Linked DNA regions of Stegostoma tigrinum. The protein of the gene in region 2 purifies or fractionates together with the protein of the main gene of each other region. This does not show direct contact. Links are inferred from orthologs where the notes say so. Each region holds a gene or a part of one and is shown on either strand. Other genes may lie near its edges.

Region 1 (3,751 bases), on a different chromosome or scaffold from region 2:
CTGCATATAAATTGACTTTTTGTTAGCTAGCGTAAGTTCTGAGGAAGGGTGACTTTGATTTTTTTCGTCACAGATGCTGCCAGAAAAGCTGAGCTTTCCCAGCAACTTGTTTTTGTTCCTGATTTACAGCATCTGCAGTTCTTTTGGTTTTTATTTATTGTTGATCTCGCTCTTTCTACATCTTCTAGCCAGAGACTATTTCCCAGGGCAGAAATGGCTAGCACGAGGGGTCATAGTTTTAAGCTGGTTGGTGGAAAGTATAGAGGGGATGTCAGAGGCAGGTTCTTTACGCAGAGAGTTGTGAGAGCATGGAATGCATTGCCAGCAGCAGTTGTGGAAGCAAGGTCATTGGGGTCATTTAAGAGACTGCTGGACATGCATATGGTCACAGAAATTTGAGGGTGCATACATGAGGATCAATGGTCGGCACAACATTGTGGGCTGAAGGGCCTGTTCTGTGCTGTACTGTTCTATGTTCTATGTTCTATGTTCTCTACAGCCAGATTCTATTTCTGTAATGCACTTTGTATGGTATGATCTGCCTGTAATGCATGCTAAACAAAAGTTTTCACTGTATCTATGTACAAGTGACAGTAATAAATCAAATTGAAAAGAATAACACTAGAACTTGAGAGTTATGCCTATCCAAAACAAAACAAACTGAGTCTCTATAAGAATATGAAAGCAGTTGACAGGGCAGATGTACCAAGGATGTTTCCAGGTGCCATAACAATGACAGTCATGAATCTTCGAGGAAATTTAACCAAAAAGTGAAATTAAGATTCTGCGGTCTCTGCTCAAGGTCAATAGCTCGAATGAAGTGAAGGAGAAGCTAGGTAATTACGTGAGGACAAAAGTAATAGGACGAAATGATAAAGGTTGGAAGCAAGCTCCTCTGCAGCATCCATACCATCAGTTTCTGAGGTCACCGGACCCGACACGTTAACTCTGATTTTTTTCTTCACAGATGCTTGCAGACCTGCTGAGCTTTTCCAGCAACTCCTCTGATCGCATCAGCTCGGCTGAATAAGTTTGTTGCCGTATAAACTACATTTCCCAGGATGCAGCAAGAACAGACGGACCAAGAGGTGGATTGGTTGTTCCCAGGTCACATGGGAAAGAGGCTTCTGCTCATTAATTGGTCTCGACGAGGGGTCTCTGATGGCAATCCAGTGGGAGGAGCCAATAGGCGGCCCGTATATGCAGGGGCGGAGCTAACGGGTCGGAGCCGCCACAAAAGGATCAGAGGCGGCCGCGCGCCCCTAAAAAAGAAGCGAGGCGGAGGACAGAGAATCTTTGAATCTTACCAACCAGAGCTAGCCCACCGAAACCGGGGTGGGGATCCTGCCACCGAGATACCATCCCTGGGATCATGATGAAGTTTCGGTTCCGACGGCCGGGCAACGACCCGCAGCGGGAGAAACTAAAACTGGAGCTTTTCGCCTTCAATAAGGTGGGTGCGTGGGTGAGGGGAGGGGAGGGGAGGCCAAGGGCCTGGGGGTTGGGGAGGATAAGGGTGGTGGGGGATAGGGTATAGTGGAGGGTGGGGAGGGAGGAAGGAGGGACGGTCGAAGGGGGATGGGGTGTAGAGGAGGGGGCGTGGGTAAGTGGGAGATGAAACTATATTTTAACCTTTGGGTGACAGAGCCAGTAATCCAGAGGTCTGAACTAGTGACCTAAAGATTTGTTCAAATCTCAGCATAATAGCCGGCGACTTTAAATTCTCAACTGATGCTAGTGCTGGCAATGATAGCCATAAAGCGAGTAATTAATGTAACAACTGATGCTCACTTTCGGGGAGGAGCCTGCCATCAATTGCCATGTACAGGTATAGGCTCACTGTTAACTTGTTCAACAAATGGTCTATCAAGCCACCTGCTTGTAATTCTGAAGACAGTTCATCATTGCTACTTTTTCAAAGGCCATGAGCCATGGACAGTAAATGTTGGTCTGGTCTCTGATGCCCACACTGTGCCAATGCAACTAATTCTTGCCAGTGACCCTCAAAGAGGGTCTCGTGTTCCTCTGCACCTATCTTCTGATTAATTTTGCCTTACAGGTGTTTCACCTCAACCTTGGCTTTAACTTCAGTGCTTCTTTTTTAAAAAGTCAGGTTATTAATTTTGGTTATTGTGAGATGCCTGGCAAGGCTCCTTACGTAAAGGAAAGGAGAGAACTGCAGTGAGATCATGTGTCCTGAGAGCTGGTTTTAGAGTGGCAGTGATTTATTGGCCTTTGCATTGCTTGACAAGCTTGATTGTGACATGCTTAATTAATTTTGTGGTGGTACTTTAAGCAATAACTATCTATATTAGCACACTTTGGTAATGTCCAACTTGAACTGTAAATTGAAGAGTAAAGTCACAGATTTCATTTCAGCATTGAATGCTTGGATGCCTCTAACAAAGTTCAGAATTGGAGCACTTAACAAATGTGACCAGAAACTATGTACTTTCCAAAACAATGGCATTTCTTCACTGGATGGGCATTGGATGTCCCAAGCTTTAGAGCACACTTGTCATGTAGCCCTGAATCTTGGGGTGGGGGGGAAGCCAGTTTGTGCAACATTTGATTGAGGGCACCTCTTTGCACTGGAACATCACTTTGGGCAAACCAACAATACCTTTCACTGTGGTGCTGGCCTTCCAGGTGCAGAGATTTATCTCTGAGCCTTCCAAAGTACAGCCCATAGCGCAGGAAATGCTTCATCGCTGTGCTGCATCAGGACCATCCTCGACTATAATACCACATTGCTGCCAGACCTTCTATGCATAGGCATGTTCCAGAAGGGGTGCCAGCTTAACGACAGTGTGCAGTGCTGCAAAGTCCAGATGTGTGTAAAAGTTGTGTCGGGCTGCACCTGGTGTTTGTGCACAGAAGGCTTTAGCACAGTTTAGAAAGCATTTTGTGCTATTGCACATGTCTTTTCACCATCCCACTTCCAAATCTCTCTTGTAAATGTTGTTCTCACAGCAGACATACTTTGCAAGATGAGATAGCAAGAACTGTAGATGCTGGCGTCAGATAAATGTGGAGCTGGAGGAGCACATCAGGCCAGGCATCATCAGAGGAACAGGAAAGTTCATGTTTCTGGTCAGGACCCTTCTTCAGAAATGGGAGGACGTGAGCTGGAAAATAAACAGGAGAGGTGGGGCTGGTGAAGGTATGTGGGATGGTGTTGAGTGAATGCAGGTAGGGAGTGGTGGGCATTGGTCAGTGGGATGGTTGGGGTAGATAGGTGGGAGATAAGACAGACAGGTTGTGTGACATCAAGGAGATGGGGATGAGGGCAGGGGTGGGGAGATTTTAAAACTGCTAAATTACATATTTGGGCCATGGGGCTGTAGGTTTGTGAGGTGGAATGTGAAGTGTTGTCTGCCAGGTTCCAGGCGTTGTCATTGTAGCACTGGAGGAGGCCTGGGATGGTCATGTCACCCAGGGTGTGGAAGTGGGAGTTAACAGTTGGCAACTGGAAGGTGATATTGTTTGTTGAGTGAAGGGAGCAGATGCCCTATGAAACAGTCTCCAAGTCTTGCTTGGCCTTGCTGATGTAGAGAAGGCCACATTGGGAGCTGTGGATACAGTAGACCAAGTTGGCATGTGCAGGTGATCCCCTGTTGGATATGAAAGGTTTGTTCAGGCCCTTGGAGTGCTATGAGAATAAGGGGATTCTGTCTTTATTTTCATTGGAGCCATGAGGATGAGGGGGCAGGACTGTGGGAAACAGAAGATGTGGTTGAGGTAACAAAGT
Region 2 (3,751 bases):
TTTTTTTTGGACTCTGTTTTCAATGTTAGTCAGGGAAGAGTCTGCCATTGGAAAAAGGCAGGTTTTTTTTGTCAGAATACCAGTCGGGGATGTTATTTACATGCCTTTGGAGCAAGTGACACTTGAACGCAGGTCTCCCAACTCAGTGTTAGTAGGAACTGCTGATGCCGGAGAATCTGAGATATCAAGGTGTAGAGCTAAATGAACACAGCAGGCCAAGCAGCATCAGAGAAAGAAGGGTCTTCACACGCAACTCTCTGATGAAGGGTCTAGGCCCGAAACGTCAGCTTTTGTGCTCCTGAGATGCTGCTTGGCCTGCTGTGTTCATCCAGCTCCACACTATTATCTTGGAATTCTCCAGCATCTGCAGTTCCCATTATCTCTTCACACGAAACGTCAGTTTTCCTGCTCCTCTAATGCTGCCTGGCCTGCTGTGTTCATCCAGCTCTACACCTTGTTATCTCCTAAATCAGTGATGACATTCCGAAAGAGCGTGACGAACGCGATTTCAGTGCAAGGCTTTCATTCTGTTGTTCAGTATGAGAGGCTTCTTGTCTCCCATTGGTTCCAGGTGATTTGGGGAGGGCGGAGGCCGCGATCGGATTGGCGGCAGGTTTTTCATTAAACAACGCAGCCATCCCTTGTTCTATTGGTCAAAGTTCGATTTGTTCCTGATTGGCCAAGGTGGGATTCCGTTCGCCGGTTTGTCCCTCGGGATTGGCTGGGGAGGGAGGGTAGTACAGGTAACTTCTGCTAGAATGTGATTGGTTGTTGATGCGGCTTGTGGTGTCCACGCTGGGGGGGCGGCGCAGGGTGGGAATTGTCGGTTAACCTGTAACCGCCATTTGTGCAGCGCGAGCTTTGCTAGAGTGGCGGGCTACCGGCAGCAACAAGTTTCCTTAGGAGCGCAATCGAGCAAAAAGAAACACGAGTTGATACTTCGTCACGACATTGAATAATAACGAGTTTCATCGAAAGTCTTATGTTCCATCTTTTCTGAAACTTGATTGGCTTCTGTGATTCAATTCGGCTTTTTTTTAAACAAGCAAAGATCTGCTGAGGTTGAAGCTTTGGGTTTTCCTAAAAGGAAAGTGGTGGAATTTGTACTGGAGAAGCAGCGAGAGGCTTTTTCGTAACTGCGCCTTCCTGTCCGAAAGTTTGCGCTGGTTTACTTTGAATCCGTTCGCTGGTGGAGTGTCGATTGTGTCATGCCTACGAGGCTGGATAACAACATGGAGCACGGAACAGGTGACTCGATCAAAGTCAAAGCTCACTACAATGGGTAAGTTAAAATAATTTGACACTCGATAGCTTCCCACAGTATTTACCTAGCATACTATTCGCTTAAGAAAGCGTTTTGTTTTATTGCGTCTCTTAGAAAATTGATTGAAAGATGAAAGCGTTTTCTTCAGGGAAAAACAATTTATCTGTGCGATCATGCTGCTGTGAAACTTTTTTGACACTTTTTTTGTAGGCAGTTACAGAGAAGATATGCAGAGTTTCAAGCATTTTAACACTAACAGTGTATGTTTCCAGTTAATCTATTCGAAAACTATTTATTTTCTTACCATACTAAACATTTGGCTTTGACGTTATTGAACAGGATGCTGTCTAAAGTGCGCTGTTTGTCTAAGAATTTTACGCGTTACATTATTAGACCTGTTAAATATGGGCTAGTTATTTTGATTCCTGTTTTGGTGTGGACATGCTTAAATTATCCTTCAGTGTGAATAATTTGGGGCATCAGCCAAAGGTTGTGACTCTGGTGTTGATCATAAAATCTGTATGACAAAACAAGGATGTCTTAGTCCTTCAGCCCCTGTAGTTATGGGTTTTGTTTTTGCAGGAATTTTAATTTACTAATTCAGGTAATGGCTTCTGTCTGCATAATTTTGAGCTTTTAAATATTACAGCCTTCTAGTGGTTCTGAGTGTTCAGTCTTTTCTCTTCAATTAATTTGCCATTATGTTGGTTGTGATACTGTAAACAAATATAACACCTGGAATTAGATGGCATGCTAAATATTAGGTACGTTTGATTTTTCAAGTCTATCACAACCAAGCACATCTAAAGTTTTTTTTGGTTTGTGACAAAATCTGAAAAACATTTTCGTGACCTCAATTTGCCTATGAGGACCCAACATGGCAGCATCCAGCCAATTAGATTCTACCCATGTGATTGCAACAAACGTCCAAAGACACTGGATACTGCAGAGAATGTGGAGCCTAACAACATTCCAACAATTGTGCTGATAAATCATGCTCCAGCACCAGCCAGGTACCTAGCTGACCTGTTAAAGTACATTTTTCATTAAGGTATCTATGAGAAAATGTGAAAAATTACCCACATATGTTCTGCCCACGTTAAATAGGCTAAATCCAACTTGGTCAGTTATCACTACTTCATTCTTCTCTCAATTATCAACAAACTGACAGCATTGTAGAATAAATCAGTTACTTCAGAAATGACGTGGCAAAAGGAGGACTGAAGGCCATATAATTGGGATTTTACATGTGTAATAGTATACACGTAACCTGAAACCAGAGACACAAACTAAAGCTACTCTATATTGCAGCTTTCAGCCTTGTTACACTCAGGTTGTCTCTTTGCTTGAAGATAAAAAAGATTTTTTTACAGAATTTAGTTTTCTTCCTGTCTCTTCAATGATTTAAATCTCATTGGATTGTTGTTGTTGTTGTTGTTGTCAAGTAGCATGGTGCTGTATTTTCTGGCCACTCTTGTTCAGCCAAACATCTTGTGTGTAGATATAAGGGGAGGCAGTGGCCTAGTGGTATTATCACTGGACTGTTAATCCATAGACTCTCAGTTAATCCAAAGAATCATAGCACGGTGCCTGAGTGGTTAGCACTGCTGCCTCACAGCGCCAGAGACCCGGGTTCAATTCTACACCTCGGACGCCTGTCTGTGTGGAGTTTGCACGTTCTCCTTGTGCTTGTGTGGGTTTCCTCCTGGGTGCTCCAGTTTCCTCCCATGGCTCAGATGTGCGGGCTAGATGGATTGGCCATGTTAAAATTGCCCATAGTATTCAGGGTTGTGTAGATTAGGGGAATGGGGTCTGGGTGGGGTGCTGTGAAGGTCGGTGTGGACTTGTTGGGCCGAAGGGCCTGTTTACACACTAGGGATTCTATATCAAAAATGTATACCTAGGAAATATTTTGGGGTCCCAGGTTTGAATCCCATTGGGCAAATAGAATTTGAATTCAATAAAAATCGGGAATTGAGAGTCTAATGATGATGACCATGAATCCCTTGTTGATTATCAGGAAAAATCCATCTGGTTTGCCCCTGTCTTTTAAGGGAACGAAACTGCCATCAATACCTGGGTAAGGTCTATATGTGACTCCAGACCCACAGCAATGACTCTTAACTGCCCTCTGGGTAATTAGGGGCGGGCAATAAATGCTGGCCTAGCCAGCAACACCCACATCCTGTGAAAGGATTTTTAAAAAATTGCATGATGTGCTTAAGTATTATGTTGGGGAATTTTGAGTTATGACTTTGATTATAATTATAGAGCAGGAATTTGTAAACCTAATGGCTGAACCAGCTTCCTTTGGGAATGCATATCCAATAAATTACTTATCCAACTGACACACAGCAAACTTGATTTTTACTGGGAGCGCAAAGTGAGGAATGCCAAGTTTAAAAACTTTATTATCCAAAAAAAGCCACACTGCAATCTGATATGGATCCCTTTTCATTCCAGTGGAAAACATCAATTTCACCTTTT
Region 3 (3,751 bases), on a different chromosome or scaffold from region 2:
GTCCCTAGACTCATTTCTGGTTTTGGGATGGTTTTGAGGCTTCCAACAATGTCAGAATAGAGATTTTCATGTAACATTTTCATTAGATTCAAGGAGTAGTGTATAAGTCTTGATGATGGCACTTTTTTTATGGCCGAGTTTTGGAAGAAGTGTCACTAACCTTACATTTATATAATTGGAGTGTTTTGGTGGTGCATCCAAGATCCTATTCTGGCTGGCCAAACCAACTATCAGTTTTTTCCTTTCCAGTAGAAACTTCAACCCACTGCTTGTTCCTTGGCTATATCAGTTTGGAATCTTGAAAGCTCATGTAATTTAAGTACAGTTCTTCTTTCTTAATGGTCACTTGTGAATATTCTAACATTCAAAGTTCCGAACAGTTTCTGTTCCAGTCACCACCAGCCAAGATGGTGATCCTATGAAGTGTGGGCATGATTTCAACAGGTTAGTGTCCAACCATGATAAATCAACCACCTTTTCAAAGCAATGATCTCAATGATTAGGTAGTTTGTCAGAATCAAAGATAACTTTTTTTTCCATGCCGGTGGTGTGGGTCGTGTGATGACTATACTGAGTGGACTCATAAACCATTCCTCAGATGCAGAAAATGGTGTTTGCTGAAGCGATGGATGGAATGTTCATGGCTTTAACAGGCCTTTTCCGGTGTTTGCACTTGACTTCCCTTTGGGCCTGTTGGGAGATGTCTCAATATTTGCCACCTTCACAGGTGTTTTTCTCCGGTTTGGGTGGTCACGCCTAGACATTCCAATAAATCAGTGGGAATATTGGAATTTTTCAGAAAGGTTTTCTTTCAGAAGGTCCTTGAAGCAATTTATCTGCCCTTGCGGTAGCTGCATGTCAAGACAGAGCTCAAAGTAGAGTTTGTTTTGGAATTCTCGTGTCAGGACATGCAGACCACGTTATTCCTTGGCCCAGAATTCTGGGTTCAAGTCTCATCTCTGAACGTAATATCATGCATAACAGGTCCATACAGATCGTTTTTTTAAAAAAAAGTTAAAGATGTGGCCACACGATACAACGCCAACTACAGTTTGGAAAGAAGACTCCGATGTTACAACGACACTTCGGGGGAGGAGCTTAACGGTTTTACGCGATGACATCGGTACGTGCCAGAGACACTGTTGGAGAAAGAAAGGGTATGCGCGCGCAAGTAGGTGCTTGCTTGCGAGATTGAGTCCGTTCGACAACAATCGGAGGAAGACTCGTTAATGGTCTGATCTTCTCGGAACACTTTCGAATTCCAATTGGAACGACGCAGGGAGCAGCTCGTGCCGGGATTCGGCGCCGCGAGTTCCCATCGCAGAGAAAGAGAAAAACTACTAGCAGGGAGAATGAACAGAAGTTACAAGCCCACCACGCTGAAGTGTTTGGATAGGGTGGCGGTGGAAGTGAAGAGTAAGGTGAGCGGGTGAAAGTTACAAACTAAAAGCCTAGACTGCAGGTCGTGGGGAATGGGTCTTCCTTCACTCGGAGCCAGCGGCTTTAAGTGGGCGCAGTTTGTTTAATGTTTATTACACGACTACGTTGTGGATTCTGTTCCCTTACTTCCCCCCCCTTTCCTGTTTAGAAGTGGAGCGCAACATGTAGGTGTAAACTGAATGGGACACGGAGAGTAGGTTACTTTCAGAATTTTTTTCGGAAATTTCTTGCTTCGATTTTCTTTTCTTTTTTTAAAAAACTGAAGGAATGGAATATTCCGGCCCGTTGATATGAGCCTGTGGCTTCGCTTTTTTCCCGTCTCTGGCGCGTAATAAAAGGTTCAAGGCCAACATCTGGAATATGGTTCACAAACAGAAGTTGCTGGTGAGACTCAGCGGGTCCGGTGGCATTTGTGCGGAGAAAGCAGAGAAAGCAGAGTTAACGTTTCGGGTCCTTTGCCTCTTTCAGAGTGTGTTTCACCCACTTGTGCTTCTTGCCTTCTCTCTCGCAGTCCGGAAAGGTGCTGGAACTGGCATGATCTGGCCACCAAGCACAGGCGCTTAAACCCAGCTGCTGGAGAATTGCTGCCTTTCCTGCGCATTGTGAAGCGTTGTCATTCTCTATGTTATTATCACTATTTGACATTTCTCGGAATCTGTTTGCGTGGGATCAGATCAGGAAAGAGAAATTAGATACAAGAGGAGTTTTTATGTTTTGTTGGTTGGTATTCATTTGATACCAAAGCAGTTCAAGTGTGTAATTACCACACCATTTTGATTGATTTAATGTGCTGTCTAAGATTTGTGATTTTAATAAAATGTGCTGGATGGAAGATTTTGCTGAAAGTTGTACTTGGACAATGGATGCAGCCTATGGGTTTAAATATTGTTGCCACTGAGACTGATTCAATGAAAATGATGTAAAATATGTGAACACCTAGAACAGAAATAGCATTCATTGCCTGGTAGACAACTCAGCATCCAAAGTCATCAAGACAGCATCCCAACAGATTGAGGCTGAAGCCCAAAGACAAACCTGGAAAACAAAGGGACAAAGAGAGAGAAGAGAGAGCCTATTAAATCTGACAGTATGTTGACCATCATGACATTTAAAGATCTTTTGAAGCCACAAGGCATTTGTGGACCAAGGTCAAATGGACAAGACTTCTTTCATTCCCAGGATGAAAATCCTTCCAAGGGATGTAATTGCTGGAAAGAACATTTTCAATAACTCCTTTCCTGTCAGATGATACTTTCAAGGCTATCTCCCCCAAGCCATCCCCCAAAAGTCACAAAAGAGACTATGGTAATTGTCGTCCAGAAGGGAGATGACTTCTGCTGCGGAAACTATCAAGCTGTTTTCCTCTTGGCCATACAGGGAACATTCTGACTCATTTACCTGAATTGTCTTACTTCCAGTGGCTTTAAATCTTCCACAGAAGCTTCTGGTCTTTGTTTTTGATTTTCCCGGTAACAAAATGTCAGGAACTATGCATTGCATTCATCCAAGCACTTAGACTGAGCCTTGCAATTTACTGAGTTATGATTCTCCAAAGAATTTGACGTCCAAGAAACTTCTTCACAATCCTGAAATCACTTCATGGTCACTGACTGCAACAATCTTGAGAATCTGGCCCATTATCAAGCAAGGCTATAAGATAGACTGTAAAGCACGTGGGGACTAACTAACAGTGCAATTCCCTTCATCCAAGATTAGCTGCCATCTTATGTGAAATAAAGAAAATTCTTTAATCCAAGCCACAGCTGAACTGACTCTCATGAACATAACTTGAAGATTGCAGAAGAGTGCACTGTCATTTCTCATAATATGCCATATTTACAAGACAGTCTTCAATTCATACACATGCTCTGCCTAATCTTGATTGTTGCCAAAACAAAGCTCTTAGCAATCTAAACCTGGTAAGTCAAATATTCCAACTTCGATATATGTTGAAGAGGTGATACTGGGATACAGTGATACACTTCCCATACATTTGCAACCATCTGTTTTGCAAGGCCACCATTGATGATGAGATCCGAATAGAATCAGCTGCATCAGCTCAGCCTTCTACATGCCATGGTGGAAGTTTCTATCCACGGTGTCTTTTTCCAACAAAATTCTTCATACAGCTCAATTACACTCCTGTAATTTGCAAAACTAGGACTGTGTACCATTGACACATAGGAGCACCAGATAAATTCCTCGGTCATTGTCTGGGCCACATCCTTTGACTCAATGGGAAGACTATCGAACAAATGCTAGTGTCTTTGTTGAAGACAACTCCACAGACATTCAGATAAATTCCTGTAAA

The links.
Region 1: the proteins of prkcz (region 2) and llgl1 purify together in Homo sapiens (affinity purification with mass spectrometry; 6 studies listed by BioGRID and IntAct, counting the BioPlex papers as one, with this or other methods). This does not show direct contact. The link is inferred for Stegostoma tigrinum from reciprocal best matches to the Homo sapiens genes PRKCZ and LLGL1.
Region 3: the proteins of prkcz (region 2) and partitioning defective 6 homolog gamma purify together in Homo sapiens (affinity purification with mass spectrometry; 6 studies listed by BioGRID and IntAct, counting the BioPlex papers as one, with this or other methods). This does not show direct contact. The link is inferred for Stegostoma tigrinum from reciprocal best matches to the Homo sapiens genes PRKCZ and PARD6G.

What each region holds. Positions count from the first base shown.
Region 1 is NC_081376.1:25,395,438-25,399,188, reverse strand, and holds the start of llgl1 (lethal(2) giant larvae protein homolog 1), read left to right. Parts: upstream 1-1,201; 5' UTR 1,202-1,372; coding exon 1,373-1,453; intron 1,454-3,751. UniProt on the Homo sapiens protein: Cortical cytoskeleton protein found in a complex involved in maintaining cell polarity and epithelial integrity. Involved in the regulation of mitotic spindle orientation, proliferation, differentiation and tissue organization of neuroepithelial cells.
Region 2 is NC_081381.1:22,673,651-22,677,401, forward strand, and holds the start of prkcz (protein kinase C zeta type), read left to right. Parts: upstream 1-821; 5' UTR 822-1,208; coding exon 1,209-1,282; intron 1,283-3,751. UniProt on the Homo sapiens protein: Calcium- and diacylglycerol-independent serine/threonine-protein kinase that functions in phosphatidylinositol 3-kinase (PI3K) pathway and mitogen-activated protein (MAP) kinase cascade, and is involved in NF-kappa-B activation, mitogenic signaling, cell proliferation, cell polarity, inflammatory response and maintenance of long-term potentiation (LTP).
Region 3 is NC_081355.1:34,916,561-34,920,311, reverse strand, and holds the start of partitioning defective 6 homolog gamma, read left to right. Parts: upstream 1-1,174; 5' UTR 1,175-1,352; coding exon 1,353-1,421; intron 1,422-3,751. UniProt on the Homo sapiens protein: Adapter protein involved in asymmetrical cell division and cell polarization processes. May play a role in the formation of epithelial tight junctions. The PARD6-PARD3 complex links GTP-bound Rho small GTPases to atypical protein kinase C proteins.